Pelodiscus sinensis: one gene and its partners. The main gene of each other region encodes a partner of the protein of the gene in region 2 in a complex. Links are inferred from orthologs where the notes say so. Each region holds a gene or a part of one and is shown on either strand. Other genes may lie near its edges.

The links.
Region 1: TMEM17 (region 2) and B9D2 share a complex: the UniProt entries of both Homo sapiens proteins name them as parts of the tectonic-like complex. The link is inferred for Pelodiscus sinensis from reciprocal best matches to the Homo sapiens genes TMEM17 and B9D2.
Region 3: TMEM17 (region 2) and AHI1 share a complex: the UniProt entries of both Homo sapiens proteins name them as parts of the tectonic-like complex. The link is inferred for Pelodiscus sinensis from reciprocal best matches to the Homo sapiens genes TMEM17 and AHI1.
Region 4: TMEM17 (region 2) and TMEM216 share a complex: the UniProt entries of both Homo sapiens proteins name them as parts of the tectonic-like complex. The link is inferred for Pelodiscus sinensis from reciprocal best matches to the Homo sapiens genes TMEM17 and TMEM216.

Annotation. Positions count from the first base shown.
Region 1 is NW_027465992.1:83,846-91,154, forward strand, and holds the start of B9D2 (B9 domain-containing protein 2), read right to left. Parts: upstream 3,279-7,309; 5' UTR 3,136-3,278; intron 3,080-3,135; exon of another isoform or gene 3,029-3,079; intron 1,851-3,028; 5' UTR 1,847-1,850; coding exon 1,759-1,846; intron 1,574-1,758; coding exon 1,448-1,573; intron 690-1,447; coding exon 376-689; 3' UTR 1-375. UniProt on the Homo sapiens protein: Component of the tectonic-like complex, a complex localized at the transition zone of primary cilia and acting as a barrier that prevents diffusion of transmembrane proteins between the cilia and plasma membranes.
Region 2 is NC_134713.1:185,703,856-185,711,521, reverse strand, and holds the start of TMEM17 (transmembrane protein 17), read right to left. Parts: upstream 3,230-7,666; 5' UTR 3,172-3,229; coding exon 3,063-3,171; intron 1,981-3,062; exon of another isoform or gene 1,679-1,980; coding exon of another isoform or gene 1,621-1,678; intron 659-1,620; coding exon 555-658; intron 167-554; coding exon 53-166; intron 1-52. UniProt on the Homo sapiens protein: Transmembrane component of the tectonic-like complex, a complex localized at the transition zone of primary cilia and acting as a barrier that prevents diffusion of transmembrane proteins between the cilia and plasma membranes.
Region 3 is NC_134713.1:96,668,651-96,676,030, forward strand, and holds the start of AHI1 (jouberin), read right to left. Parts: upstream 3,076-7,380; 5' UTR 2,886-3,075; intron 1-2,885. UniProt on the Homo sapiens protein: Involved in vesicle trafficking and required for ciliogenesis, formation of primary non-motile cilium, and recruitment of RAB8A to the basal body of primary cilium.
Region 4 is NC_134714.1:125,525,198-125,532,501, reverse strand, and holds the start of TMEM216 (transmembrane protein 216), read right to left. Parts: upstream 3,002-7,304; 5' UTR 2,867-3,001; coding exon 2,854-2,866; intron 2,329-2,853; exon of another isoform or gene 2,221-2,328; coding exon 2,119-2,220; intron 1,336-2,118; coding exon 1,243-1,335; intron 878-1,242; exon of another isoform or gene 877-877; coding exon 675-876; exon of another isoform or gene 213-674; coding exon 197-212; 3' UTR 1-196. Other genes in the region: TMEM138 (transmembrane protein 138), read right to left, coding at 6,417-6,529, 6,857-6,932. UniProt on the Homo sapiens protein: Part of the tectonic-like complex which is required for tissue-specific ciliogenesis and may regulate ciliary membrane composition.

The DNA of each region.
Region 1 (7,309 bases), on a different chromosome or scaffold from region 2:
GGCTGCTCGGGGGCCCAGGAACGGCTCCCCCATGCTCTTGTCCTTACCAAGAGAGCCATGGGAAGGGGGCGAAATGTCTGAACTGTCCAAGTGTGTGGGGGCCACAAAGCTGCGGGGCCCCAGGGGGCCACCCCCCTGGATCCTGGGGCTCCTCCAGCATCAGGCACTGGATCTGGGCAGACCCCTCATACTCCAGCCCACGGTGGGGTTTCATACGGCCTGCAGTGACCCACCTGCCCCCCAGCGCCCCGCCCCACGGCAGGGGCCCCTCCATTCCTCTGCCCCCCAGCAGGGGCCCACCTGCCCCCCAGCACCCCAGCAGGACCCCCTCCCCACCTGCCCCCCCCAGCGCCCCGCCCCACAGCAAGCCCCCTGCTAGCACTCCACCCCGTAGCGGGCGAAGTTGCGCAGCAGCACGCCCAGCTGTAGGTGCACGGTGCCGGCGGCGACGGTCTGCAGGCGGTACCGGTCGGCCCCCGTGTAGATCAGGTCGCTGTTCAGCAGCTGGGGCCCCCCGCCCACGAAGAGCTGGGAGAGCCGCTCCTGCCAGGAGCCCAGGGGCTGCCAGGTGGCGCAGGCCAGCGCGTGCCAGCCCGGGCTGCAGGGCACGTGGCAGAAGCCGTAGCCGTACAGCTCGCTGCGCCCGAAGGCGTCCTGGTGCCAGACCTGCACGTGCAGCTTGGGCCAGCCTGGTGGAGAGAGGGGACCCGTCAGAGCCCCCAACCCTGGCACTGCCTGGGCCAGCACCCCGAGAGGGGATGGGCCGCATGCTCCATGCCCCGTCCCATAGGAGCCACCAGCCTTTCTCCTGCAGCCGGGACAGGGGGACGTGGGGCTGCATCTGTCCCCCTCCAGGACCTGCCTTGGGGGCTGAAAGGAGGGCAGAAAACCCCAGATCACTGGGCAACAAACCGCCTCTGGGGGTTCTGGACAGGAGGCAAAATGCCTTTCACTGAGAGGAACTCGCTTTGCGCTGGGCCTGCAAGGTTCCCTCTCAGCTCCTCCAGCCACTGCAGGGCTTTGCCACCCACGCGCGGAATAATTTTATGCTGTACACGGGGGCACGTGTGGATGTGCACCACCAAGAGAAACAAAACCTAGCGGTGGGCGCTCTCCTCGCCGGCTGGGCAGCGCCGGACTCTCTCCTGAGCAGTGGCACAGGCGCCCAGCGTACAAAGAACACCACCAGCCAGCGCCTTTCCCCATCTCCTGGGCTGTCTGTCCCGTGGGGACAGGGACACAAGACCAGGGCTGAAACCTGTGTCCAGGGGGAAGTCTGCCCTGCCCTGCCCTGCCCAGCCTCCGGGGGCCACCCAGAACGTGGGGGGAGAGATGGGCCCCCTGGCAGCCACCTGCCCGTACCACTGGCCCTGCCCCCAGGCCGGTTCGGAGATCCAGGCACCCCGGACAGAGGGGGTTGGCCCTGGGGCCGGCGGCCCCCGCTTACCCTGCAAGCCCTTGGTGGCGAAGTGCACGTCGATGGGGTGGGACCAATAGGCCACGTCGTCCAGCTGGGGGTGATCCACCTGTGTCTGCCCCTCCCGCAGGCCGGAGAGCAGCTTCCAGGCGCCGCCTGGGGGGGGGGAGCATGGTCAGCGAGGGGCTCCCAGCCCTGGCTCTAACCGCTAGGCCTGGGATAGAACCCACAAGACTGGGCCCCCAGTTCTCCAACCCGCTGGCTCTGGCTCTGGGCCTCTCCAGCCCGTTCACCGCAGATGCCACCCCCCAGCCTCGCGGGTGCCCGTGGCTCTGGCTGACCTGTGTGGATTCCCCACTTGCAGAAGAGGCTGGAGCGGGGGAAGCCGCTGGCGCCCACGAGCTGCCCGATGATGTGCACTTCGGCCATGGTCCTGCCGCGGGCGACCCAAGAGGGGGGTTAGAAATAGAACCCAGGAGTCCTGGCTCCCAGCCCCTGCTCGCTCCCTAACCACTAGCCCCCACTGCCCTCCCACCGCCAGAAAGACCCCAGGCATCCTGACGCTCAGCCCCAGCTCTAGCTCCTTCCCAAGGAAGCGGCACCGAGCTGCCCTCCTTGCGGCGGGTCCTTGGGGCACCTGCCCCACAAGGGCTGAAATTGCTGGGGGCCAACCCGCCAGGGACCCGCCGCTGGGCTGCTGCAGCGGGGCAGAGCCCTGGGCAGCTGAAGGTCCGGCCGCCTGCTCTGGGGGGGCCGCGGGACCCGCCTGGATACCCGGCTCCATGCCCGGCACGGTGCTGGGGGGGCGGGCGCTGCAGACCAGCCCCTCCCCGCCCAGTGGGGGCTGCACCCTTGTGGGGAGACCCCCGCCCCAGGGCAACCCCCCTCTGGGAGCAGCACCCCTGAAAGGCAAGAGACCCCCCCCACTGCTGAGACATCAGCACCCTCGGGCCCCGCCCCCACTGGCCACGCCCCTCCTTCACATCGGGCCCCGCCCCCACTGGCCACGCCCCTCCTTCACATCGGGCCCCGCCCCCACTGGCCCCGCCCCTCCTTCACCCCGGGCCCCGCCCCCACTGGCCACGCCCCTCCTTCACCCCGGGCCCCGCCCCCACTGGCCCCGCCCATTCTCCACCCCGGGCCCCGCCCCCACTGACCCCCGCCCCTCCTTCACCCCGGGCCCCGCCCCCACTGGCCCCGCCCATTCTCCACCCCGGGCCCCGCCCCCACTGACCCCCGCCCCTCCTTCACCCCGGACCCCGCCCCCACTGGCCCCGCCCCTCCTTCACCCCGGGCCCCGCCCCCACTGGCCACGCCCCTCCTTCACATCGGGCCCCGCCCCACTGGCCACGCCCCTCCTTCACCCCGGGCCACGCCCCCATTGGCCACGCCCCTCCTTCACATCGGGCCCCGCCCCCACTGGCCACGCCCCTCCGTCACCCCGGGCCCCGCCCCCACTGGCCCCGCCCCTCCTTCACCCCGGGCCCTGCCCCCACTGGCCCCGCCCATTCTCCACCCCGGGCCCCGCCCCCATTGCCCCGCCCCAGGGCCCGGCCCCCCCCACGTGTGTCTCGGGGCGGGGACAAGGCGCCGGGCGCGTGCTCAGCTCACACCGTGTAACGGCGGGGGCCGGGAAGGGCAGGCAGGAGCGACACCAAACGCATGCGCACTGCGCGGCCACCATCCCACCGCCCCGCCCTCCCTGAAGAGCTACAGACCCGCTCGCGCCACGGGCCCGGCTCCGCCGCGCGCCGCTCGCGAGCCCGCGGCTGCTACGGCAACGGCGGCGGGCTCCTCCCCAACGCCGAATCCTGATTGGCTGGCGCAGGGGCACGTGACGGCGCTTGGCGCAGGCCCCGCCCAGGAAGACGACAAGAGTTCGCCGCCATCTTGACTGTGGCAAAGAGAGTCGTGAAGGCGGCGCCATCTTGGATGGGTCATGACGGGCCGGGGACGCCGCTATTGGGCGGAGCAAAGCCCTGGAGGCAGCCATCTTTGGGAAGGGCAGCGAGCTTGGCAGCGTGGGGGCTGCGCTTCGTGAGAGCACCGTGGCAACAGGGGAGGGGCATCATGGGAACACCATGGCAACGGGGGAGGGGCATCATGGGAACACCATGGCAACGGGGGAGGGGAATCTGGGAACACCATGGCAACGGGGGAGGGGCATCATGGGAACACCATGGCAACGGGGGAGGGGAATCTGGGAACACCATGGCAACGGGGGAGGGGAATCTGGGAACACCATGGCAACGGGGGAGGGGCATCATGGCAACAGGGGAGGGGCATCATGGGAACACCATAGCAACGGGGGAGGGGAATCTGGGAACACCATGGCAACGAGGGAGGGGCATCATGGCAACGGGGGAGGGGCATCATGGGAACACCATAGCAACGGGGGAGGGGCATCATGGGAACACCATAGCAACGGGGGAGGAGATTGTGGGGCACCATGGGAACGCGGGGGGGGGGCACTGTGGGAGCACCAGGGCTGAGCTCAGGGCCTGCCTGAGTCCAGGCCCCAGCCCCGCCCGTCCCAGCCCGTATCTGATGGTCGAGCTGGAGCCCAGCAGACCGAGCGCCAGGCACCAGCCGCTGGGCCGCTGGCCTTCCCGGCCCCCAGTGCCCAGCGCGTTGTCCAGAGGGAGACAGACCCTCAGCAAACGTAGGCAGCCACCCCGCCCTGGATCTGCCAGCCTGCATGGACCAGCCATCCCCCGCCCCCGCCCACAGCCAGACACAAAATCTGACCCCCTGCTCCAGGCACTTCACCCTCCACCCCCGGGCCACGCCCTGCGCACTGCTGGGCCTTGGACACTCAGCAGGGACGAGCCACCGCCAAGCAGAGACCCCTGCAGCACACCCAAGGGGCACCTCTGACTTCGTTCACTCAGCCCTGATCTAACCCAAGAGCCAAGCTCGGTGGGTCCTGCACTGTGCTCGGCCATGGTGACATCTTGTGGCAGTGAGTCCCACAGGCCCACCCTGCCCGAGAGCACCCGTTACGGAAAGAGCCCCCTGGGCCCTAGCTGGGTGGCCATTAGGGTGACCAGGTGTCCCCATTTTATAGGGACAGTCCAGATATTTGGGGCTTTGTCTGCCTGTGGCCACCCTGCGTTTTCACACTTGCCACCCGACTGGCGACTGGCTACTGCTGCAAAGAGGGCGGGATCAGGCAGAACTGAAAGTGCTTCACAATGCAGTGGAGGGGGAAACTGAGGCACAGAGAGCGCATGCCCATAATCGTGGTGGACATCAGTGGCGGAGCTGGGGAGAGAACCCAGGAGTCCTAGCACCATCCTCTCCCCCTTCAGCTATAACCACGGGCCCTTCCTGCCAGATAGCAGGCACCATGTTGCTCTCTCCTGGCATCATGGGCCCTTTGCTCTAGCGTCCCTTGGAAACCTGCTGTTTCCAGCCCCCCACGGGCTCCGAGCAGGGTTCTAAAATGCTGGCGAGAAGCTGAGAGCACAGGCGCCTAATGCACCACGCCCCGTCTGCTTCCCAGCACAGGGCCCAGGCGGGGGGGCACCAGCAGGCTGAGCCTGAGCCTGGTCCAACTCTGGCTGGATCCCCACTAGCCCAGCTTTGTGCCTGGCTAGCCCCACCCGGCGTGAGGGCCAAGGTGGGGGGGGGGGACAAAACCAGGCTGGTTCACACCCAGACCAGGCCTGTGTCCTGGTGGCTTGTTACTGTCTGGATCCAGAGATGCCCGGTCTGGTCGGCTCCATCGCAAAACCCTTGGGGCAGGGAGCTTGAGTTGGGCTGTTCCCCAGAGAGAGACATGGGATCCAACAGAGCTGGGGGGGTAGGGGCTGCGGGTCGGAGCGAGGGGCACCGGCAGGGCTGGGGGGGCAGGGGCTGGGGGGCAGGAGAGAGGGGCACCGGCAGGGCTCGGGGGGCAGGGGCTGTGGGTCGGAGCGAGGGGCACCGGCAGGGCTGGGGGGGCAGTGGCTGCGGGTCGGAGCGAGGGGCACCGGCAGGGCTGGGGGGGCAGGGGCTGTGGGTCGGAGCGAGGGGCACCGGCAGGGCTGGGGGGGCAGGGGCTGTGGGTCGGAGCGAGGGGCACCGGCAGGGCTGGGGGGGCAGGGGCTGGGGGGCAGGAGAGAGGGGCACCGGCAGGGCTGGGGGGGCAGGGGCTGGGGGGCAGGAGAGAGGGGCACCGGCAGGGCTGGGGGGGCAGTGGCTGCGGGTCGGAGCGAGGGGCACCGGCAGGGCTGGGGGGGCAGGGGCTGGGGGGCAGGAGAGAGGGGCACCGGCAGGGCTGGGGGGGCAGTGGCTGCGGGTCGGAGCGAGGGGCACCGGCAGGGCTGGGGGGGCAGTGGCTGTGGGTCGGAGCGAGGGGCACCGGCAGGGCTGGGGGGGCAGGGGCTGGGGGGCAGGAGAGAGGGGCACCGGCAGGGCTGGGGGCCAATGTCCCCGTGGGGCTAGAAGGAAATCCATGAACAGCAGCGGGTGCGTTTGGCTACAGGACTCCTGGGTCCCCGGTGGCTGCTCCCACCTCCACATGCAAGAGGCGGCAGCTGGGGGGTGGAGGGGGGGGCTGGGGCCTTTAACAGCCGCACTCCTGCTTGGTGGGATGGGGGCTGATTATGCAGCAGCCATGACATTGACGTCCGACCCCCGCACCTTGCGCTGACTAATGGATCCCCCTGTGGCTGGCCCCCCAGCCCCCAGCCCCCTCCCTCAGCCACACGCTGGCACCTCTCTCAGGGGCGGGGGTCGCTAGTCCTCCCTTGCAGCTGGGGAAACTGAGGCACGGAGCACGACAGTGACAGGCCAGGATTGGGACGCTGGGTCTCCTGAGGCCCAGTCTAGGGCTCTGCGCACTAGGCCTTGCTGCCAAGCTTCCCCCCCCGCAGCGTTTGAGAGCAGCCTCAGCAGATGGGGAGGAGGGTGGGAACGGAGGGGGGAGATAGATGCAGAATGGGGGGGAACTGAGCTCCATTGGGGCCTGCAGGGCTGTGACCCCTCTGTGACCCCCAAGCCCTCTGGGCAACTCAGCCCTAGGCCCCACGTCCCCAGCAAAGGGCAGGAACCGGCAGCGCCTGGCACAGGGGGGGGGGGGGGAGGGGTCCAGATGCTGCCAAAACAGGGAAGGAAGCAGAAGCTCCTGGTAGCTCCTTCAGGCCCCACAGGGCAGAGGCCCCGCCCCCCATGGTGCCCCCCACCCATATAGCAACCGCCCCACACGGTGCCCCTCATGCAGTGACCCCCCCCACACAGCCCGGTGACCTCCCCCTCACCTGCCCCACTCAGCAACCCCCCCCCCCCCCCCCCCCCCGCCTGGTGGGGCCTTGGGGCACAAGGACACAGTGCACGTGCTGCAGCCTCTCCCTGCCACGACAGACCCGTGGAAGCCTCCCCCAGCCCTGCCCCCCCCCCGCTCCCGCCCGCAGCCCCCCACCACCTGCCTGTTCCCTCCCCCGCCTCCCCCTCGCTCGCGGGCCGCCGATTAGTGATTCACCCGGGCGCTTGGCTCCAGCCCCCAGCGCCGCTCCGCTCCCCGCCCCCCCCGGATCCCCCCCCAGCGCCGCTCCGCTCCCCGCCCCCCCCCCCGGATCCCCCCCAGCGCCGCTCCGCTCCCCGCCCCCCCGATCCCTCCCCCAGCGCCGCTCCGCTCCCCCGCCCCGCGCACCCCTCCCTGCGCCGCTCCGCCCCCCGGCCCCACGCATCCTCCCCCAGCGCCGCTCCGCTCCCCGCCCCCCCCGATCCCTCCCCCAGCGCCGCTCCGCTCCCCGCCCCCCCCCCGGATCCCCCCCCAGCGCCGCTCCGCTCCCCGCCCCCCCCCGATCCCTCCCCCAGCGCCGCTCCGCTCCCCCGCCCCGCGCACCCCTCCCTGCGCCGCTCCGCCCCCCGGCCCCACGCATCCTCCCCCAGCGCCGCTCCGCTCCC
Region 2 (7,666 bases):
ATTCAGCCCTCTAAGGCTCCTGAACGGATGTTCAGAGGTCAACAGAACATACCTTCTCCTGCAGATTGCCCATATATCCAAGATACAGTCGGATGGCCTCAATGAGAGAGACTATGACGATGACTGTGACCAGGATGAACTTGTAGTAATCTGGCAAGACTGGGTACTAGAGAGAGGAAGAAAGTAAGAATTCCATGGGGCTGGCATGTGCTATTGCTATTTTATACAGCTCTACAGAAGCTCATGGAATTTGCATTCTGGAAATTCATGCAGCACTGTCAATATTCCTGAAAGTTGACAAGCCGTTGCCCCTGATTTTTCAATCTGCCACCCAACCAAACCTGTCACTAACTCTGTCACAAATTCCTGCACCTCCAGATACTCAGACATTTCCACTAAGCTATTGCACTCTATTAAATAACATTTGCCATGTGTGGGTTGAAGGAAATGAGTAGATGGGCTGAGTATTATATTACTCTTGCAGACAGTGTAAGGAAATAAAATTCAAACAGGCAGCACAGATGTTGTAGGGGATAAGTCCCCTCAGGACTTACCTTCAGCTGGAGCATGACCACACTGCTTACCCACCAAAATGGGAAAAAGTAAAGGTTGAAATAGAGGGACATCTGCAATGGCAAACTGGCAACTATTTCATTATCTAGAGAGCGAGAGAAATCATCATCACCCAAGGTCTGTATCAGACATTATATTTCCTACATAGAGCAGAGAAAGATGCCTCTACTTTAAGAGAACAACTTCAACTCATTAATGGTTGGATTCTGAGATCAACCAAGTTCATCATTAAGCATATGTCAAAGTGGCCAGAGGAAGAATTTTTCTACATAATTCCCTACCGTATTCTAAACAATCTAAGTGTGATGGGAGTATACAAAGAAATAAGGAAGGTGTTAAGCAGAGGAGGTGCTCAAAAGGAGAGCAATAGACAGTGGAGGTGAACTGACTTGTACTCTTAATTCCTGATGCCTGACTGTAGCAATGTGATAATGCTAGGCCTTTTTTTAATGGGACTAAGTGACCATATATATTTGATTATACTCAAATTAAAACTGATCTCTACAAATCAGAACGCAAGCATGCTGATGGAGAAGCTTGCATCGCTTGGTCTCCATGCAATCTTTCTTCTGCACAGAAAATTCTAGACTCCAGCAATGTCAATCCAATATGCTTTTTAAAAAGGGGCAAATTTGAATGTACATTACAGAATGAGGAGTTACAAATCAAACACTATGAAGAGAAGAAAATTAGCTGCTAAACCTCAGAAAAACAAAATACTGACCCTTGGAATACTATGTAGGAGGTAAAGTTCTACAGTGTTTAGAGTTTGCATGTAAATTCCAAAAACAAAACAAAAATATACAACCAGACCCAGATACAAAATAAGTCCTAAAAATGAGAACATCAGGAATGGTTTTGTTTCAACTGACAAGTTTCCTTCTTTCTTTGTCCAATGGATTGATATCACATTAAATCTACTTGAATTAATTATCAGTAAACTGACTGTTGGAAGTTCCCCCCCATTTCTCAAAGTGCAGCCCATAGAAGTATCCACAAGTACCATGGGTTTGTGCATGTGGAAGTTCCTCCTTATGATTGCCTCACCTGTAAGTCCTGTTACGTGTCCCTGGTTCAGCAGATCCAATTCAAACACCCAAACCATCAGTTACATGTGGTGGCAGTGAGAGTCTGATTTATTTTACGTCCTGGAGTGCTTTGTGCTTTTCAGATGAAATATGCTAGGTGGTGGTATAAAATATCTGGCAAGTTACACCGAGTGCCTGGCTGAGTGTGAAGGGATGGTAGTATTTTCACAGAAAGGCACAGAGGCTACGTCTAGACTGGCATGATTTTCCGCAAATGCTTTAAACAGAAAAGTTTTCTGTTAAAAGCATTTGCGGAAAAGAGCGTCTAGATTGACACAAACGCTTTTCTGCAAAAGCACTTTTTGCGGAAAAGCATCCATGCCAATCTAGACGCGCTTTTGCGCAAAAAAGCCCTGATCGCCATTTTTGCAATCGGGGTTTTTTTGCGCAAAACAAATCTGAGCTGTCTACACTGGCCCTTTTGCCCAAAAGGACTTTTGCCCGAACGGGAGCAGCATAGTATTTCTGCCAGAAGCACTGATTTCTTACATGAGATCGTCAGTGTTCTTGCAGAAATTCAAGCAGCCCGTGTAAACAGCTGGCAAGTTTTTCCGCAAAAGCACCCGCTTTTGTGGAAAAACTTGCCAGTCTGACACAGTCAATATGTTTTGCCCTGGGCTGATGTCCAATGGCATCCCAACTGGTTTAATAGTTTGTGGTGCTTTTCTTAAAGCCCCAGCTTCTAGAGTCCTGGGATTGTGAGAATCTCAGCTTTTATTTTTTAGAGCTTCCGATCCTTCCTGGCTGCTAAGAAAAGCTGCCACAACCAAAGAAACAACCATCCCAAAGCAAACCCCTAATCATGCGAAACCCAAAGGCAAAGACCCCATAGTCCTCGTTTAAATCTCAGGATTTTGATGAGGGCCTCTTGAGCTCCAGGGGGGATGCCTGACCTGGGATTTTTGAACGGGTGGGACTGGCAGCACAGCCTAGCTCCCAAGCTGGGGTCTAGCCCCCCAGCAGGCAGGCTCACAGCCTGGGGAGCGGTACCTAAGCCAAGCCGTGGAGCAGGAACAGGGGGGCTGAGGGCGGAGACGATGCATTAGCGCAGCTCTCACTCCCGCGAGCCCGGGGATGCTCTGGCACCCGCAGCCCCGGGGACGCCAACGCGGAGCCACGTCCCCAAGCCACGGCGCAGCAGGGAGGCCCCGCGCGGCGGCTGCTGCCACCCCTGGGGCGGAGGGAGGGGGGAAGCTGCCGGCGCAAGGCAGCGCGCGCCCCCTTCCCGCCCTTTGAGCGCGGGGACGCGCTGTCCCATCCGCCCAGTCCTAGCCATAGCCCCGCTACAGCGACGTTGGCGCCGCCATCTTCGTTCCTGGCAGCGACCCTCTGCCCCCCCACCTCTCTCCCTTTGAGGATGCCGCCGCCATCTTTGTTGCGGGCAGCGCAACCAGGCCTTACCCAGGCTGCCGCCGCTCTCTCGGCGCTCCGGGCCGGTGCGGTTGTTGTCGCTGAACACAGACCGGCTAAAGGAGCCGAGCCGCCTCCTGACCGGATCCGGCAGCGCCATGCTGGCCGCGCGAGGGGCAGCCAACCCGCTGCCATGGCAACTAGCGATTCGAGCATGCGCAGTAGCAACCCGCGAAGCCGCTACCCTGACTGTGCCCCCACCAACCCCAGCCAGGGCAGGAAGGGAGGGGTCGCTCCTGTCCCAGGCCCAGGGCTCCTGCTTGCTGCCAGCCCCAAAGCAGAGCCCCAGGCCTATGGGTGGGGGCCAGTGCCAAGTGTGACAAATTGTGTACAAGAACTTATTTCCCCATTTTATAATCTACTACATTTTGAAATTCCAATATTTGCATAGAAAAATATAGCCTGTGATTTCAAAACACATGTAGAAACAAGTTTAGTCATTAAATCATATGTCTAGCCAGGTTGCCAGATGGTTTCAACAAAAATACTGGACACACTTGACATGACATCACAATCCACATTTCATCTTATTTAGAAAATACTGGACACTTATAGTTCTCAATTTGTTTCCTGAACAGAAAGTTAAAATACTGGACTGTCTGGTTCAAAACGGGACGCCTGGCAACCCTCTCTAGCCTTTCCCCCCATGCTCTCTGGCAGGGCACCCCCAAGAGGGCATCCCTCTGTGACGGCGCGTTGGGGGTCCCCCGTCTCCTGCACCCCGAAATGGCACAAACAGACTGCACCAGCCGGTGGAATAGAAGAAGTTTATTGCCTCTCCAGGATACAGCACAGCACAGATGTAATCTGGTCACAGAGCTGGGCTAGGATGCCTCAGGCCCCCTTGAGTTGGGGGGAGACTGGGCCCCTAAACTCCAGCCCCTCTCCCTAGGCTGTCTCCTCCATGCTCACAGACCGCAACTAACTAACTCTCTTCCAGCCCTGCCCCCCAGCCAGGGCAGCATTCCACCTTCCTTTGTTCCTCTCCATGGGGGGTGTCTGGCCATACTGGTTTGCATAGTGACTCATCCTGTTTTGCTGGGTCGTGGTACCCACGGGAGCCAGTGGGGGTTACCCCAGAGCCAGCAGCATAGAAACCAGCCAGGTACCCCCACTACGTCACACCCTCCCTGCCCAGTATTCCCTGGGCCCAACTGAGCCTGGCATGTGGCTGGTTGCAATATGTGGCGTACCCACCATGGCCATCCCACAGCCTGTTTTTTTCACACAATGTCCTGCTGACCCAGATTGGTCCTGTTTTGGGCAGGGGGCTGGACTTGATGACCACCTGAGGTCTCTTCCAGCCCTATGAGTCTATGATTCTATGACTAGGGATGTAATAAAGCAGTCGATTAACCCTTAAACCGATAAGCAAAAGCTAATAGGTTAATGCTATAGACTACACACATTTCTCTCCTCCACCCCTTGCCAGTAAATTTTTTAGCAGGCTGACCAGCAGCCCATCTCAGTCCTGGCTTGTGATGGATTTGAGACCTACCCCTGCTGTGGCTCTGCATTTAAAGTGTATTAGGAGATGGGCAGGCGGTAGGGGTGCCACATGGTTTCAACAAAAATACCAGACACACTTAACATTACATCACACTCTACATTACATCTTATTTAGAAAATACTGGACATTTATATTTTCTCAATTAGTTCCCCAAACAGAAAGCTTAAATACTGGACTGTCCAGTTCAAAACCGGACACCTGGCAACCCTAGCAGGCAGGCAGCCCGGCTTGGTTCCGGCTCATGCTGGGTCTGGGAGTTCAGACCGATCCCGCTCCACCCCCCTCCACCCCCCCCCCCCCCCACACACAGGGGCTGCTGACACCCTGCACTGCTTCCTCTTTATGAGAGGCAGCAGTACAGGGTGACAGGCAGCTGATCCACAAGGGGAGCTGTTTTTTAAACTGGAGCAGCTTCCGTCTGGCACCCTGCGCTGCTGAGTGGCAGGGGGTTCCTCAGGAGTAAGGCTGAAGTGAACTGGCTGCCAGCCTCACCCCCTGGGGCTATAGAATAGTCAACTAACTGATAAGAATTCATGAGGTTACTTGACTATTTAATTAACCCATATTTAACATCCCTACCTAAGACCTGCTTTCAGGGCACCTGAGTCCTTCCAGTTTTCTATATATCCTAAAAGTTTTAAAAACAAATGGTCCAGGAAGTACTGCAGTACTGAGTAGGAGTCCGGTGCTTAAGGCACTAGTGCAGCGGAAGGAGCATTGGATGGGATGAATGGTGTTAGGAGTGGAGAGTATAGCCCACAGTGGATTGAACTGTAAGGCCCATCAGCTGAAGAAGTATCATGAACGTGCACTCTAACTTTAGTAGAAAATGCACTGCACGCTTAAGATATTTCCCCGTGTTGCTTTTGAGTGAAAAGCTAGCAGCAGTGACACCGATACATATTTTTAAATTACTTTTGAATGAGTATTTCCTTACCTTTAAAAACGTTTTTACAAAAGTGTCCTGCTTTTAAAAAAAATTTTTTTTTTCAAAATATGGTCACCTTAACCCCACATACATGAGATTCACCAAGATACACAGGGCCCAGTCTTCTTGGAGGAGAGTGGGGAATCCTGCAATATAAATTATTGTCCCCCTGGACTGCAGTTGATGATCAGTTTTTAGGAATTTTGGCAGGATTTTTGAATTATTGTAGTTTTAACCTAACTGGTGTAACTGCAGAGTGAATTCATATAAATGTCAATCTATTTTAAAAAGAAATCCTACCAAACTGTTTCCCTTGATAATATTCGAAAGATGAGAGTTCTACAGAATAGTTTAATGTTGGTAAAAGTGTTGACACCAATTTTCTTTCACAGGTTTTCCTTGAATAAAGGAAATAAATACAGGCAGGCAAGACCTTATTCCTTGAAGTGCTCAAAAGAGATTTAGGGGAGGAAGAGCTTGTGGGCAGTTCAGAGGAAGCTAGAGTAATTCCTGAGTGGTTGGAATTTGTACTGAAAGTGGTTGGAAGTTGCTATCAATTAATTAAAGTTGACACGGTAGTTAAATGTTGTTGCACCCATTTTACGGAAAATGCCATTAGAGTTTGACCCTTTGAAATGTGATGTTAACCTTCTGTTGAAATGATTCAATATAAGAAGAAAGGTAATCCAGTCTATCTACATGTTCCTCATAAAATATCAACTAGAAATTTTAAAAGAAAAACATATGATAATCGCTCATTTCTAGAATCCAGGAATCCTGACTCTCAAAACCTCTACAGACTAAATAAACTGCCCACAGAAGCAAATATAAATGTTAAGGAGTAATTCTAAAGCTAACTTTATATTTGAGGAAACATCATTAAAGGTGTGTGTCTCAGGACATTAGAATATAATTTTAATTGAAGTGTCTGAAACCTCATTTCATCATCGTTACCTTGGTCTTGGATAATTTAATGCATTTTAAAATATTGGTTCAAAATCCTTACCACTGAATATCCCTATGAAAGGAGCAGGTATGCATAAAGTAAAAGTATGGCAGTGAACTTATGATTAAGTCAGATCTTCATGGAAGTTCTTCCCACATGGCGTGTTGGTAAGTCAAGGTTCCATCTTAAAATAATTTACTCCTTTGGGATTTTCCAGTTGATTACTTAAATTAGGGAGACCTTTTTTCTTGTCAATAACAAACGATATGCTGCTCCTTGGCTAGACACCATGCAGTCACTCTGCACAGATACTTAGATCTCTCATTCTATGTTTCTAATTTTATAGGCCCAATTCCGCCAATCTGTCAGGTGTGAAGTCTCTAGTCACATGAGTATTTCCTTTACAGTGAATGGGACTTGTCACACAATAAAGTACTCTTGACATAAGGAAGATTTGAAAAATTGGGCTCTCAGTTCCCCAAAATAGTGGGAGGTAGCACAGCTTATCAATCAGTGAAGTGGCAAAATTGAGCTGCAAGTAAAGGAGAAAAGCCAGTGGAAGGCAGATACTAAAGAAATCCATGGATTTGCTATGTGCACTTGGTTTCCACATTCAGGATATGAATCTGTGATATTTGACAGGGCAATGTGTTCAGCAGATGGCAAGCATCCTACCTGCCCCAGTTAAAAAAAAGCCTCATACCTTTGTTCAATATTTAATTTTCATGTATATGCATACAATATTCCCCATAGGTAGAATATGTCTGTTTTTCAGCTAATCCAATTTAATTGTCCTTGGGCTCATGCAACCATCTATTGTGAATTTAATGAACAGGAGACTTCATTTTATGGAGTGTGTTTTTAGTGAGCAGATTCTTTTGTTTCAAGCAGAAAGGGAAGTTATATTTTTAAGGAACAGAGCCTGGGGAACAGCTGAACTGGTAATTTAGTGCTTTATATAATAGTGAACCATAAGGAAAGGAAGACCATTAAACTGCACGTGACTGGAACAGATCCGGTACTCATACAGATGGTCATCATAAATGTTCAACTTTTATAGAAGTCCTGGATATTCATCTCTTTCCTTTTTTTAAATGGAAAGGAATCCCCATTCCTGTATTTCTTCATGTCTATCCACCTCTTAATGGATGAGGCACAACTACCTAGAGATTCCAATTCTTTATGCTTTGAAATAAGCTACTGGAATGAGA
Region 3 (7,380 bases), about 89 Mb from region 2:
GCAGGCAGCCCGGCACAGTTCCGGCTCGTGCTGGGTCCAGGAGCTCAGACCCCTGGACAGGGACTGCTGACACTCTGTGCTGCTGCCTCTCTATCAGAGGGAGCAGTGGGGGGTGACAGACAGACGGTCCACGAGGGGAGCAGGTTTTTAAACTGGCTCCCCTCGTGGACCAACTCCCACCTAAGCACCCTGCGCTGCTGCTTCTGATACAGAGGCAGCAGAATGAAGTGGCAGGGGGCTCCACAGGAGTGGTGCTGGAGTGCACTGGCTGTAACCCCCCCTCCCTCCCCAGCAACTATAGAATAGTCAGGTAGCCAATACAAATTCATGAGGTTACAGGCAGTCCCCGACTTACGCGGATCCAACTTATGTCGGATCCGCACTTACGAACGGGGCTTTTCTCGCCCCGGAGCTCACGGGCGGCAGGACCGCCCAGAGCGCAGCGGTCCCGCCACCGCGTCCTCTGGGGCGAGAAAAGCTGCTCCGGGTCTCCCTGGTGTGCTGGGGGGGACTCCCCCAGCACAGCAGGGAGACAGGAGCAAAGCCGCAGAGGCGGCGGGACCTCTGCGCCTCCGTGGCTTTGCTCGGGTCTCCCTGGTCTGCTGGGGGGGAAGGGGAAGCAGCTAGTGCGCCCACCCCCCAGCAGACCAGGCTTTTGTTGCGGAATGCCTGGGGTAGAGCAGCTGGGGTGCTGCCGGGTTGGTCCTGCGGGGACCTACCCGGCAGTGCCCCAGCTATTCTGTCCCAGGAGTCCAGATTCAGCCGCTGTTGAAACTGATCAGCGGCTGATTCCAGGAAGCCGGGGGCAGATCAACTCTGCCTAGGGCTTCCTGTAGTCAGCCGCTGATCAGTTTCAGCAGCAGCTGAATCTGGAGCCAGTTCCGACTTACATACAAATTCAACTTAAGAACAAACCTATAGTCCCTATCTTGTACGTAACCCGGGGACTGCCTGTACTTGACTATTCAATTAACTGATATTTAACATCCCTAGTACAGTGGTTGGTTTTGCTCCTGACACTTTTATTTTAGCTGTCATGCAACAAAGATCATATCTGCAGTATGGTCGGAAGTAACACTGGGACACTGGTAAAAAAATTTCTGACAGGTGCAAAAGATAGTTTGCAAGGATCTGAATGTTGCCTCTAACAGCATGGAGAGAGATTCCATGATAGTTTCCACAGGCCACTTTATCCCCTTTCTTAAAAAGGGTAACAATCAAGGTGTCCCTCATTTCACTTGCTATCCTGATTTTCAGGATAAGCAAGCTTAGCTGCTGAATTTACTCTGGTCCACTATCTTTAAAGTTGTCAGCAGGGATCCCATCTGGACCTGCTGTCTTGTTGTTCTTCATCTGCTTAATGGCACTGTATATCTCATGCAAATTGGGAGAGTCTCCAAGCTCATTCCTAGGTCTTTGAGGGATTTGCCCAAGAACTTCATCTGCAACCATGAAATTACGATTAAGACCTTCAAAATGTTTTCTCCACCAAAAATTAATGGTTTAATTGTCCTTTGAAAGTGGGGATGTGAATTCACATCCAGTAGGAATGTGGATGGTTAACCGGCTAACAGGTAAGCCTCACCCATTTGCTACACTTAACTGGTTGAAGCGGGAGGCCCCCTCCATGTAATCGGTTAACTGGTTAAACAATTATTATAACTTGTTAACTAATTAAATGGGACTTTATATCCCTACCACCCAGTTAGTGGTCTTTAGAGGACCTCACTATTAACTTTCCACCTTTCTGAAAACTGACCATTTATTCCTATCCTTTCCCCCCTATCTTTTAACTAGTTACTGATTCAGGACAAGACCTTCCTTTTTATCCCATGACTGGTTATTTTGTTCAAGCACCATTGGTGAGGGAGCCCAAATACACTATATCCACCAGATCACCTTTGTCCATGTTTGTTGATCCCCCCTCTCCTCCCCACATCTCTCCTTCAAATAATTCTAACAGATTGGCAAGACGTGATTTTCCTTGATAAAAGCCATGTTGATTCTTCTTCAAACCGTGTTCACCGATGTGTCTCATAATTCAGTTCTGTATTAGTTTCAACTACTTTGCCCTGTACTGTAACAGCCAGGACCATCTCCAGAGCCTTATTAAAACATTGGCTCTGCAGCATAATCTGCGTTGCCAGCCATTCATTCACTGGAAATTATCTGGGGCCAGGAGAACAGCTCTGGACAGCCCAGCCTCATGCCCCACAGCCCAGGTTATGGGGGTGGCGCCAGCAATGGACATCCGGTATGTAAGGCAGGGGAAGGCTTTACCTTCTCAAACCACCAGGCTTGACCCCACCTACACTCGGCTCCCAGAACGTCTACGCTAGGACTTCTGGGGGTGGAGCGCTGCTGCCCCTATCGACACCCTCCCTGCAGCACTCCACAGCTAGGGGAGACAAGGGCGAGCAGCCACCCCCTCCCCATGGCTGGGCTGCCCCACCTCCCCATGTGGGCAGGGAAAGGGCAGGGCCTCAGCAGAAGGGGCGGGGCTGCAGGTGGGGTGGGGGCTTGTCTCCCCAAGTCCTCCCCCCCTTCACCAGCTACCCACGGTGCCAGGCATCCCTACGCTGAACAAACGCGCCTCCACGGAGTCCTGCCCCAGGACTGGGAAAGCGCAGGGCCCAGGGGAGGCAGCAAAGTGCGAGCGCTGCCCTAGCCCGCGGGAGTCGCTGCACCCCCCCATCCGGGCTCATCCCGGGTGCCTCGGCCAGCAGCGCCCGGCCAGCGCCTCCCGCCGCCAGGGACGCGGGTGCAGTTGCGAGGATCGGGGCCGAGCTCGGGCGTGGGGACGCGTCCAGGGTGGAGACCCAGTTTTCCGCCCCCTCCCACTTTCCCTCCCCGCCAGCGCGCGCAGGGCAGCGGCTCTCACTCACTTCGGCCGGGCTTCTTGCACCGTCTCTAGTTAGGAGTGGCGCGGCGGGTCCCTTCTCCATCCCCCCCCGCCGCCACTTGGTTTCTCCCTCATCCCCCTCCGCCGCCTCGCGCGCTATAGTTTCGCCGACAACAAACAACAGCGTCAGCTGCCAAGGAAACAACGCCTGGCAAACTGCGCCTGCGCTGACAGCGGGACGCGACGTGTTGAATGATCGCTTTACACGCCGGGAAGGAAATAGGGGAACGCACATCCGGGACTTCTTCGGAGGTCACTCTCCCCTCCCGCCCCCCACCAAAAATGCAACGGAAACACACGCGTCACTGCTGAGTCCTGAAGACGGCACGAACACGCGCTACTTAAAATTAAGGGAGGCCGTTGCGGGAGGGAGGGGCAAGGCGCATGCGCTTGAGACTGAGGCAGGGGAAGGAGTTGGGCGAGACGTGGCGCGCGCGCGCAAGAAGTGGGGCGTTCTGATGCCAGCGTGCAGGGCGCCGAGATGGTTTCGCCCCGTGCGCCAGGCTAAGGGCCCTGCCGCCGGTTCTGGCCTTGGCACGGGTCGAGTTCGAGGCCGCCCGCGCTGGCTGAGTGAAGGGAGGGGCCGGGCGTTCTGGGCCTGCCCCAAGCCTAGTAAGCGACGGGAGGGCTCCTGCTGAAACCAGCGGGCCCGTTGCCCGGCCCTTCCCTGCTGCCATGGCGCCCTGCCCGGGGGTCTGGTCAGTTTCACTCGCGCGCTCCCTGCAATAGAGCCCGCCACCTGGCTTAGGAGTGGAGAACTGGCCCCTCAGCCGCGGGCGCCAGAGACCCCTCCTTAAAGTTAGACCCCTTGGATTTCAAACTTGAGGTCACTTGAAAGCGGCATGTCCTGCTCCCAGAGGCAGTTCTTAAACGCAAGGAGATTTTGAGCTGCTCGCAGCTTTGCCTTTGGGGCAGGGAGTTTGTTATAAAAAGAAGGGAGGCAGGTGCTTAAGCATAAGGCTGGGCCTTCCAGTAATTAAGCTCATTAGATCTTCATGAAAACATGGCCAGGCACTCTACAGGTAGTCCCCAACTCACTAACGAGTTAAGCACCAAGCACTTGGTCGTAAAGACGTGTTCATAAGTTGGACCCCATTCATTTCAATGGGACCGTGCTGTTCGTAAGCGTGGATTGCTGTTTGTAAATCGGGGCCGTGCTTAATGGGAAGTTGGTTGTGAGTGCAGCGGGTCGTACGTCGCTGTGTTTGTAAGTTGGGGACTAGTACTTAAAAGATAGGAGAAAAGAAAAGAGGAGGAATGTGAATGACTAGCTAACAGGCTAATTGACTAGTTACTCCCCCCCCCCCCCCTGCCTCTATGAGAAAGAGGCAGTAACGGGGGAAAGAGGAGGAGGTGCTTCAAAGCAGCAGTGGAAGGGGCCCCTCACTTTCCCCTGCTAACCCTGGGCTCCCTGTAGCATTGCTGCTTTGAAACACCACTGGGAGCATGGGGCTAGCAGGAAACTACTGGCACTGTGGGGGGTGTTGCTACACTTCAAAGGCAAGACACCCATATTGGCTAATCAAATAGTTGATGCAAATTGTGTTGACTAGTTGATTAGCCAATTAATCTAAATTTGACATCCCTAGGAATGAGTTTTGTACTGCTAGGATTTACATTTGGACCTGTACTTTTACACTTACAAATATTCTTGAAAAAGAGAGAGCCAGAGAGGTAGCAAAATTTGCAGATACTACAAAATTACACAAAATAGGTAAAGCCAAAGCTGACTGCAAAGAGTAACAAAGGGATCTCACGAAACTGGGTGACTGGACAACACAAAGGCTGATGGAATTCAGTGTTGATAAATGCGAAATAATGCAAATTGAACAATATAATGCAAACTGTACATACAAAAATGATGGGGTCTAAAATAGCTTGCCTCTACCCAAGAAAGTGATCTTTGAATCATTGTGGATAGTTGCCTGAAAATCTGCTCAATGTGCAGTGGCAGTCTAAAAACTAAGAAACTAACCATATATTGGGATTCATTAGGAAAGGCTAACAGACAAACTATATTGCCTCTATATAAAGTAATGGTATGCCCACATCTTGAATACTGTGTGCAGATTTGACCAACCCATCTAAAAAGATATATGGGATTTAGAAAAGGTACAGGAAGGGCAACAGGAATGATTTCCATCTGAAGAGAAATTAACAAGACTGGGACTTTTCAGCTTGGAAAAGAAAATATTAAAGGGTAGAGGATGTGTTAGATGTCTAGAAAATTATGATTGGTGTAAAAAATAGAATAAGGAAATGTTACTTATTCCTGCACTAACATAACAGAAGAAGTTCACCCAATTAAATTTATAGACAGAGTTAAAACAAAATGTGTGTATTTAGCAGCATGTTGTATGGATGTGAGACATGGGTGATAATGAAAGATTCAAAGAGAAGGATATTGGTGTTTGAGAAGAGGTGTTATAGAAAGATCCTGAGAATAGAATGGATGCAGAAGATTACCAATGAGGAATTATATAGGAAGATACAGCCAAAAGAGAACCTACTGCAGAAGGTTATACAACGGAAGTTACAGATATTCAGGCATATCTGCAGAATGAACGACGACCGAAAAGTTAAGACCCTGATATTTGGCATAATGGATGGTGCGAATAGGAGAGGTAGACCCCACAGAGAATGGGTAGATGATATAGTAGATTGTTGCGGAGCTAGTCTACAGAAACTAAGCCACTCTGCACTGGACAGGGAAAGATGGAAGGAAATAGTGAGGGAGGCATTGGACACTAACGGGCTTTGAGCCCATGGTGGTTGATGATGATTATGATGATATTTCTTCAGTATTTGTCAGGAGATGGTGAAAAGACACAAACTATAACAGGGTTCCAATAAGAACAAAATAAGTTCAAGAAGGATAGGTCCATCAATGTTTACTAGCTAGAATGGCAGGGATGGCATCCCTAGCCTCTTTTTGCCACAAGCTGGGAATGGGCAACGGGTTGGATCATTTGAAAAATGCCTCTTTTGCTCATGCCTTCTGAAGCACTTGGCATTGACCACTTTTGAAAGAGGAAATTGGGCTAGGTGGATCATTAGTCTGATCGCCATTCTGATCTTATATAGATGCCAAATATATCTGCCCCCAGCTGTAACCTATTAGACCCCACTTCACTTCCAGAGCTGAGCTAGAGCCCAAGAGTCCTGACTGTGTGTCTCCCTGCAAAGTTGGTAACAAAGTAAGGATACATATTAATATTTTAAGATTAACAACTGTTCCTTAAGTGACTTGCCACAAGATGTCAGAACATGTTAATATTAGAGCTGGTGGCACGGTCACATGTCTTTCTAAGACAAGTTATGATTTGGACTTACATAAAGCTACATACTTCTAACTTCACATGATACATACAAATAGAATATACATATTCAGCAGATAACTTGTTACATGATGTTTTATGTTGCATGTTGCATTATGCATATTCATAGTAATAAGCTAATTTTCATAAAGCATGAGGCCGGGGGGCATTTCTATGGACAGAACTCTAAGGCTTTCAAACTATGTGTTTGTATTTGAGACAGAGGATGTAGAAGACACATGGCAAAAAGAATATAAAAGGCACAGAGGTGTAGCGAAGGGGGGGGGGCAGGAACGGGCAGTTGCCCCCAGTGCCATGCTAGAGGGGCACCGGGCCGGGGTGGGAGCAGAGCACACACCACGCAGGCCCACTTGACGCTTAGATCAGTGAGCTGGCAGCTGGGCCACGTGCTGCCACCCGGAACACACTGTGAGCAGAGGCAGCTGGCAGGAGTGGCCTCTTTTAAAAGTAAGATGAACTTAACTGACTGGGTCTTCTGGTGCCTGGCTCTGAAGGAGGGGGATTTGGTTGGTGGGGGGGGGGTGTTGGTTTGCTTGGCTCTGAAGGAGGCGATTCGGTTGTAAGGGCGCTGGGTTGCTTGGCTCCTTTGCTCCTGGGCGCATAACACCCTCGCTACACCTCTGAAAAGGCAGCTGCATCTTCTCCATCTTGTCTTCAGTTGTCTCTCTCATCAAGTTTTTCAGCACTCCTACTGGCTCAATTTCTTTCAGTCAGGATTCTTCCCCCAGTCCCAATCCATTTCCTTTGTTCTCCCCGTTTTGTGGATGCCATGGTGTCGCAGATGATGCATGTCTCATCTCCCTATGCTATGGGATGAGACAAAGATTATTATATGCCCATAACCAAGTCTGCATGACCCTCCTCTGGATCCCAGAATAGTGTGGCCTAACAGCCAAAATCAGTGTACTCACCCTCACAATAAGAGATGGGCACCCTACTGGCCGGAGTCGGTGGGGGTGGTGAAGTGGGCTGCAATCTCAGAGTAGGCAGGGTCCCCCTGCTCTGCTTCAGCCTGCTGGCTCTTAATACATTTAGGCTACGTCTACACTAGGGGTTTTCTCGGAGAAAAATATGCTAATGAAAGACTCATTTGCAAGAGTCGCAATCTCATTTGCATATTTTCTGCCGATCTATTTTTGC
Region 4 (7,304 bases), on a different chromosome or scaffold from region 2:
GAATTAAAGTCTCTTTCCAAGCCGCTGGGCACCCCGGCGGTGGCTCTCTGCCTGGCCGGGGCTGATGCAGAATGAGGCTGCAGCTGGATCTAACGCCAAAGGACTGAGAGGCTGCCATCAGACCAGCCATGTAGGGAGCGAATGTGTGGCCTCCGGCCCCAGGCAATGTGTAGCCTTGTCTGGCCTGGAACAAGCCTCAGTACGAGTCCACCCTAGAGGGAGATAAACAGCAATGAGCCTGGCCATCACTAGCAAACCTGTGGTAGCTTCCAACCTCACCCTGAACTGGGCTCTGGCTAAGGGGAGCTTCCCTCACAACCCTGGGCAGTCCTGTCACCCCACTGGCTTCTCTCTCTCAAGAATCTGTCCTCATCCTGGGGAGAGGCAGCCCATCAGAGGAGAGGCATGCAGGTGAGGAAACAAGCAGGGGCAATCGGGAATGGCACCCAGAAGTCCTGATCCCTAGGCACATACAGGAACTGCCTGTCTTGGGTGTCAGCACCATTTTCTCTCCCCACTTTGCCCATCCCCTATTTATGCCCGCTCCAGCCCCAGAGCTTGTTTTCACCCTGAGATCCAGTCTCCCTCCCAGCCAGTTTGTGCACTCCAGCCCCTCTCTCTGCCACTCAATCTTCCACTGCCTCCCAAGGCAGGAGGCAGCAGGGGAGGGGTACCTGGAGAAGGAGGCCAGGGTGAGGATGCCCAGGAGCAGTTCGACGGCATAGAAGAGCAGCAGGATGGCGTTGAGGATGGCCTCCAGCCGCAGGGCGTAGGTCTGCAGCAGCAGGTAATAGGCTGCCATCACCGCTGCCGGGAATGTCAAGGCCAGGCTGATGGAGAGCGGCACCTTCCGCTGGCACAAGTTCCCTTTGGAGCCTGCCACATGGCACAGTGTGTGAGGCAACCGCTCCCCACCCTGCAGGCATCCATGCATGCAGAGTGCTGGGGAATGGTTTACACAGCCCTCTCCCCTTTAGGGAACAGGCTCCAATTCAACCCCAGGCAGGGGGCTGGGAATGGGACAAGGGCATTTCCTTTCCAGGGATCTGGCTCCAATCTGGTCTGGGCGAGGGGGCTGGCTGGCTCAGGCAAAGAGCTCTCCAGTTCTAGGCACTGATCCATCTCCAAGTTGTGAACAAAAGGGAGTTGTACTGACTGCTTGGCAGTCCACTGAACTCAGGGTACCAGCCTGGGCAACTTGCCTTGCTGTTCCAGAGCTGGCCATTAGTCCTAGGCACTCACCAAAAAATATCCGGGTGACTTCAATGCCGAGATAGAGGAAGAGCATGACCAGATCCAGGGCTAGGTTGGCAGAGGGGTATGGTAACAGCAGCCCTAAGGACACAAAAGTCACCTGTTTCAGGAGGAGCACAAGACCCTCAAACTTTCCCGCAAGTCTCATGGACAGCCCTAGAGAGGTCCAGCAAGGACACAGACAGGCTCATCTAAAGGTCCCAGTCCTTGCCCAGTAAAATGTTAATGACTTCTTTTTACACCTCCTTGTACTAGGGTTGTTAAATATTTGTTAACCAAATAGTCGATTAACCTCATGAGTTCCTATCGGTTAGTCAACTATTCTATAGTCTCCAGGCTGGGGCTGGCAGCCAGTGCACTCTGGCCCCACTCCCGAGGAGCCCCCTGCTACCACACGCTGCTGTGTCTCTATCAGAGGCAGCAGCATAGGTTGCCAGGTGGGAACTGCCTGCCACGTTGTACTGCTGCCTCTGATACAGAACTGAGCCGGGCTGCCTGGCATCTAATACGTTTTAAATGCAGAGCCAGAAGGGGGTAGGTCCCGGACCCAGTGCAAGCCAGGACTGAGCCAGGCTGCTGGCCAGCCTGCTAAAACATTTACTGGCAAGGGGCAGAAAATGCATGTAGTCTGTAGTATTAACCTATAAGCTTTTGCTTATTGGTTAATTTACTGTACTATTACAACCCTACCCTGCATCAGATGCAGCCCTGCGAGGGAGTGGGGCTGGCCAAAGCGTTTAAGTCAAATGACACTCCCCTGGGCTTGTCCTGGGATACCTGATGCCACAGCCCAGACAGCAGCCCCTGCTGCTAAAGGCAGTTCCATGGCCCTGGTGATCTGAGATGGCAGCCGAGGGAACTCACCTTTATAGACAAATATGAAGATCTCCAGGAGGAAGTAAGTGGCGTAATACCACCCATTAAGGAAGAGCAGGATTTCCAGCGGGGTGGAGGAGAGCTGACGGCCTGGGGGATGAACAGCATGAGTGGGCAAGGTGCCACTCCCCAGACAAGTCTGCTGGCCTCAGTCTTCTCCCAAAATGGGCAGAGGAAGCCAGAAGACCCTGAACTGCGCTAACGCCAAAGGTGAAAGTGAGTGAGTGTCGCCCCAGTGCCCTTGGAGCAGCCCAGCCCCCAGCTCCCCCATCTCCTGCCCTGAGCCCTCCCACTCCTTGGCCTGACCCCTGCGCTGGCTCCGTGCATGGGGTGGGGCAAGGGGAGGCAGGTGCCCCCCCCCATGGTGCCGGGGTTGGGACACATGCGCCCCTCCCCCCCCAGGAAAGGTCAAAGGCCACCCCCCTCCGATGGGGCTCACGTGACACCGCCCTGCCCCCCCCCCCGGAGGAGGGGCATGTGGCAGCCCCAGGGAGAGCAGGGACGTGGGGTCACGTGGCGCCCCAGCTAGCGGAGGGGGAGGGGGACGGACCGCCCCGAGGGTGGGAGATGGGGAGGTCACGTGCCTTTCCCACATGAATGAGGGTCACGTGGCGCCGCCCCCCCCCGCGCTCGGTGAAGGCTCCTGAGGGAAGGGGGAGGGGGAGGGGGAGGGGGGAGGAATCCGTAACCGCCCCCGCTCCTCTCCCCCAGCCCGGCACTTACTTCTGAGCGCCATCTTCCATCGCCATGGAAACTGTCACCCAGCGACATCGCTTCCGGGTACGCGGGCCGGCGAAGCGGAAGTGCGGGGGCCAGAGCGGCCGGTGCCCTGCGCCGCTCCGTCCGGCTCAGCCCCGCCGCTCTATGGTGCTGGAGGACCCGCCGGGCGCCGCGCCGCGAGCTCAGCCCGAGGCGAGCGAAGACTCCGCCCCCAGTGCTGGTTTAAAGGGGGAGGGGGTGTCTCGTGCCCTACCCCGCCCTCTGGCTGCAGGAGCTGGGGCGCTGTGCTCCCCAACATGAGCATGTAGCTCCCCCCCCCTATGGGGACCTGGACCTGGAGCCCTGAGCTGCAAACCCAGCTGAGGCTGTGGAGCTCCCTTGTTCTCATCTCTCCCTGCCAGTGGTCCAAGTGCCACTACCTGGGACAGCGAACCACACTAGGGCTAGGGCTACACTCGCAGCTTCTTGCACAAGAACATCTTGTGCAAGGGTTCTTGTGCAAGAAGTCTTGCTCAAGAAAACATCCCCACTGCCATGTGCGAGCGGTGCTTTTGCGCAAGAGCGCCCATGGCAGTGTGGATGCTCTCTTGTGCAAGAAAGCTCCAGTGGCCATTTTCTTGTGCAAGAAACCCCTGCCGAGCGTCCACACTGCCCTCTTGCGCAAGAGGGCTTACACCTGTTAAAAAAGAGCATAGCTCTTGCGCAAGAAGCCCTCTCTCACTACGCTGTACTGTAAATCTTCTTGCACAAGAGAGGGTGGGCAGTGTGGATGCTCTGCAGATTCTTGCACAAGAACCTGCCAGTGTAGACATAGCCTAGCTGGGTGGGCTACAGTAGCAGTTTTCAAGTACCTGAAAGGGTGTTAGCAGGAGAAGGGAGAAAAATTGTTCTCCTTGGCCTCTGAGGATAGGACAAGAAGCAATGGGCTTCAATTGCAGCAAGGGAGATTTAGGTTGGACATTTGGAAAAACTTCCTGTCAGGGTGGTTAAACACTGGAGTAAGTTGCCTAGGGAGGTTGTGGAAGCTTCATCACTGGGGATATTTAAGAGCGGTTTGGAAGGGCATCTATCAGGGGTGGGGAACCTAAGGCCAGGGACCAGATGCAGCCCCCAGCTTGCTTGGATCTGGCCACCAAGACACAGGGGAAAGTGAAGTGTCTTTCTGCATCTTAGGTTTTTTTTCCTTCTCACTTGTGTGCAGCCCCCAACTGATTTTTCTGTGGGTCTGCAGCCCCTGACCCAAAAAAGGTTCCCACTCCTGTTCTAGATGGTGGTTGGTCCTTCTGTGAGTGCAGGGGGTTGGACTAGATCTTTCCAGGTTCCTTCCAGTTCTATGAGCCTATCAAAGAGTTAACACTACCATTGGCTCTTCCTCTGATCTGGGGGCTCATGGCTAATATTGGGGGCATTACATGGTACACACTCCCTTCATTGTCCCATATGAACCCTGATTTCCCATCAATTGCCAAACAGCAAGGCTGGTGACTACAGTACCACTGGCACAGCTTCTGATGAGTCCCTGCCCCCTCCTTCAGCATCCCAACCCTACTCCTCCATTGGTGTAATACCCATTGCTCACCAGTCCAGTGTTCCCTGTAAGCTGAAAATCAGGTGCCACCCAGCTAATTAGCAGAGCACCCAGTCAGCAGCATGTGTTTCTACTGGTGGTGCACATGTGTTTCTACTGGTGGAGACACTTAACAAAATGTATTCTGCATATGGATGAAAAAAAAAAAAGAGGGAACATTGCCAGTGACCCCCCCTTCCTTCTCCCCAGGCAGCATAATGGGGTCATCGTCCAACAGTCCTCTCCACTTCCCCCCATGCAGTGCAGCCCCACAGCCTGTCTGGAGAAAGGAAATAACATGGTTCTTCATTATGATATTTATTTCTAACTCCTGAGCTGTACTCCCTCTGCTACCCAGGCCCTTTCTCCTCGGGAATAGGCAACTTGGAAATAAAACAGTGCTGAAAACACAGTGCATTGGCAACCTAAAGGGAACCTGAGCTTATTTCTAATCTGAGCTCGTTAGGCTAGCAAGTGCTCCATGTTCTTGCCCTGCCAAGCAGGGCAGCAATTTTGCAGATGTCCACAATGCCCGCACCCCTCCCCAGCCCAAAGTCACTTCCCCACCAGCCTAAGGCTCTGGGAGGGAGTTTGAGTGTTGGGTGCAAGGGAATGAGGTGCAGGACATGCATGCTTTAGGAGGGAGGTGAGGGGTTGTGCTCTGAGTGTGGAAGAGTATCTGGGCTGCAGGCTTTGGGCAGGAGTCTGTGTGCTTGCGTACAGGCTCTGGGCTGGAAGGGAGAATGCAGGAAGGAGTAGTCTGGGAGTTGGAGGGAGTAGTGGCGGTGGGAGAAAAGACTGGGGAGGGGGTGGGGCAAAGGAGGAGTGCAGAGGGAGGGGTTGGGGTGCAGTGCTTACCAGGGGCACTCCTCTCTGGCAGTACCATCCCGGCAGCTTCCCATGGACCACACAGGAAGGGGGCAGTGTACAGAGACACCTCCCCTCTGTGGAGCCGCATGTGCCAGCAGCCACATGGAACAAGTGGCCAGAAGCCACTGTAGCCCTGCTGCACTGCCACTGGTAGTGGTGATGGGGGGGCAGTTTTAAATTGCCCAAGGGCTGCAGGTTGGACTGGGGAATGCTTCAGGGGAGGTCCACAGAGATGGCAGGTGGGATCAGGGACAAGACCCAGGAACATTCCTAGTGCCCAGACTCCATGTACCCATATAACTCACCACCCATGCTTCCAAGACTGAGTAGCATGGGATACATGGGCTGTATGTTACAGTGCCATTCCCAGTCCACACCTCTGCCCTGGCCTTTACTAAGGCTCTGCATCCTTCAGATGCAGAATGGCAGAGGAAATCAACCCATGCAGTAACACCTACTGTGCAGATGGCACACATACTGCTAGTCAGGGTGACAGGGTATGATCTTATTGTCTTCTGCTTAGATTGTCAGCTCTTTTGGGGCGGTGACCATCTTTGTTCTGTGTTACTATAGTGCCTAGCTCTGCAGGGCTCTGATCCATGACTGGGGAATGACTAAACACCACAGGCAGCTCAGCAGCTGCAGGGAGGGTGTCCTGGCCACTGGGCTCCTGTCCCCAGTAGAATTAGCTGCAATGTGGGCTAGGACACAATAATGCTGGAGCGAGGGGGAGCATAGTGGGGCATATGCCCTCAGTACAGTACAGGGCCTGGGGAAAGGAGGGTGCACCCAAAAAATGCAAACACACAAGGAGGTTTCTGGAAAAGGGAGCCAATTTACTGTCTCATAACTTATAAAAATACGCAGGTACAAAAGGAAGTTCTACCACCAGGATAGAGTTCCCACAGGTACAGCTAGGGCAGGCTGAGTCCTGGCACCTCATCCCACCAGATATGCAAAGCAGAGCTGAAAGGGGTTGATACCAACAGGACCCCATTGGTCAGCCGGCAAGCAAGCTGTGTGTAGGGCTGGGGGTGGACTGTTCTGGATAAAGAGGAAAGGGGGCTTTGTGCCAGCCAACAGGGAGCAGCCACGGACCGGCCATGGCTCTGGGTCCGAGGGGAAGCCATCAGCTGCGGATGTGAGCAAACTCCTTGCGCAGCCATAGGGAGTCCTGGTAGAAGCGGGGGTCACCCAGGTGCAAGGCCGTCCTCTTGTAGAAGTAGCAGTACAGCACGGCCGCTGGGGAAAGCAAGAGGAAGATGAGACAGCTCAACCCGTTCAGAATGTCTTCACCCCTACCCCCTCCTCTGTCTGCTGGATCACCCCAGTGTGTCTTGCTGACCACCAGGGCAGGCAGAGCCTCATCGAGATCCAGCCCCCATGGGAAGGGTTTGGTACGGCTCAGGGGAACAGAGATGCCATTCCTTAACAAACCCCAGATCCCAGCCTGGGAGACAGCAGGGAAGGCAGATGGGGCCAGCTTTCTGGTAGCTCTCCCTGAGTCTAGGTGTCTGTGGGTGGTTGCTTGGGGGAGTTGAAGGGTCCAGAGCGGAGCTTGTCTCTTACCCAGCCGCTGGAACACAAAGAGGGCCTGCAGCCCATCTGTCCACACAAAGCGGGTGGAGTTTTTCCAGCGCAGGTTCTGAAAGAGATAGAGGGGCACAACGGACATTAAGGGCAGGAAACAGATGTGAGAGCAACTGTGCAGCCCCCCACAGAGCTCAGCACACTGGGTCCCTTTACCCACTTCCTTGCTCCTCTCTCCCAGGGGCTGCTCCATTCTGTCATTTCCTCCAGATCCTTAATGGGAAGCAGCTCCCTATGTCCAAAGGGTTAGAGGGCTTCCCCTAGTGGCCATGGGGGAGAAATGCACTGTCACTGTGGTCCACTTCCTAGTCTAAAGCAACCCTGCCCACCAAGAACAACCCCCCTCTGAGCCCATCCCTGGGGCCCAGGCATACAGAGGCCTCCTTCCACCTCCCTACAAGCAGGGATGCAAGTGCCAGGGAGCAGC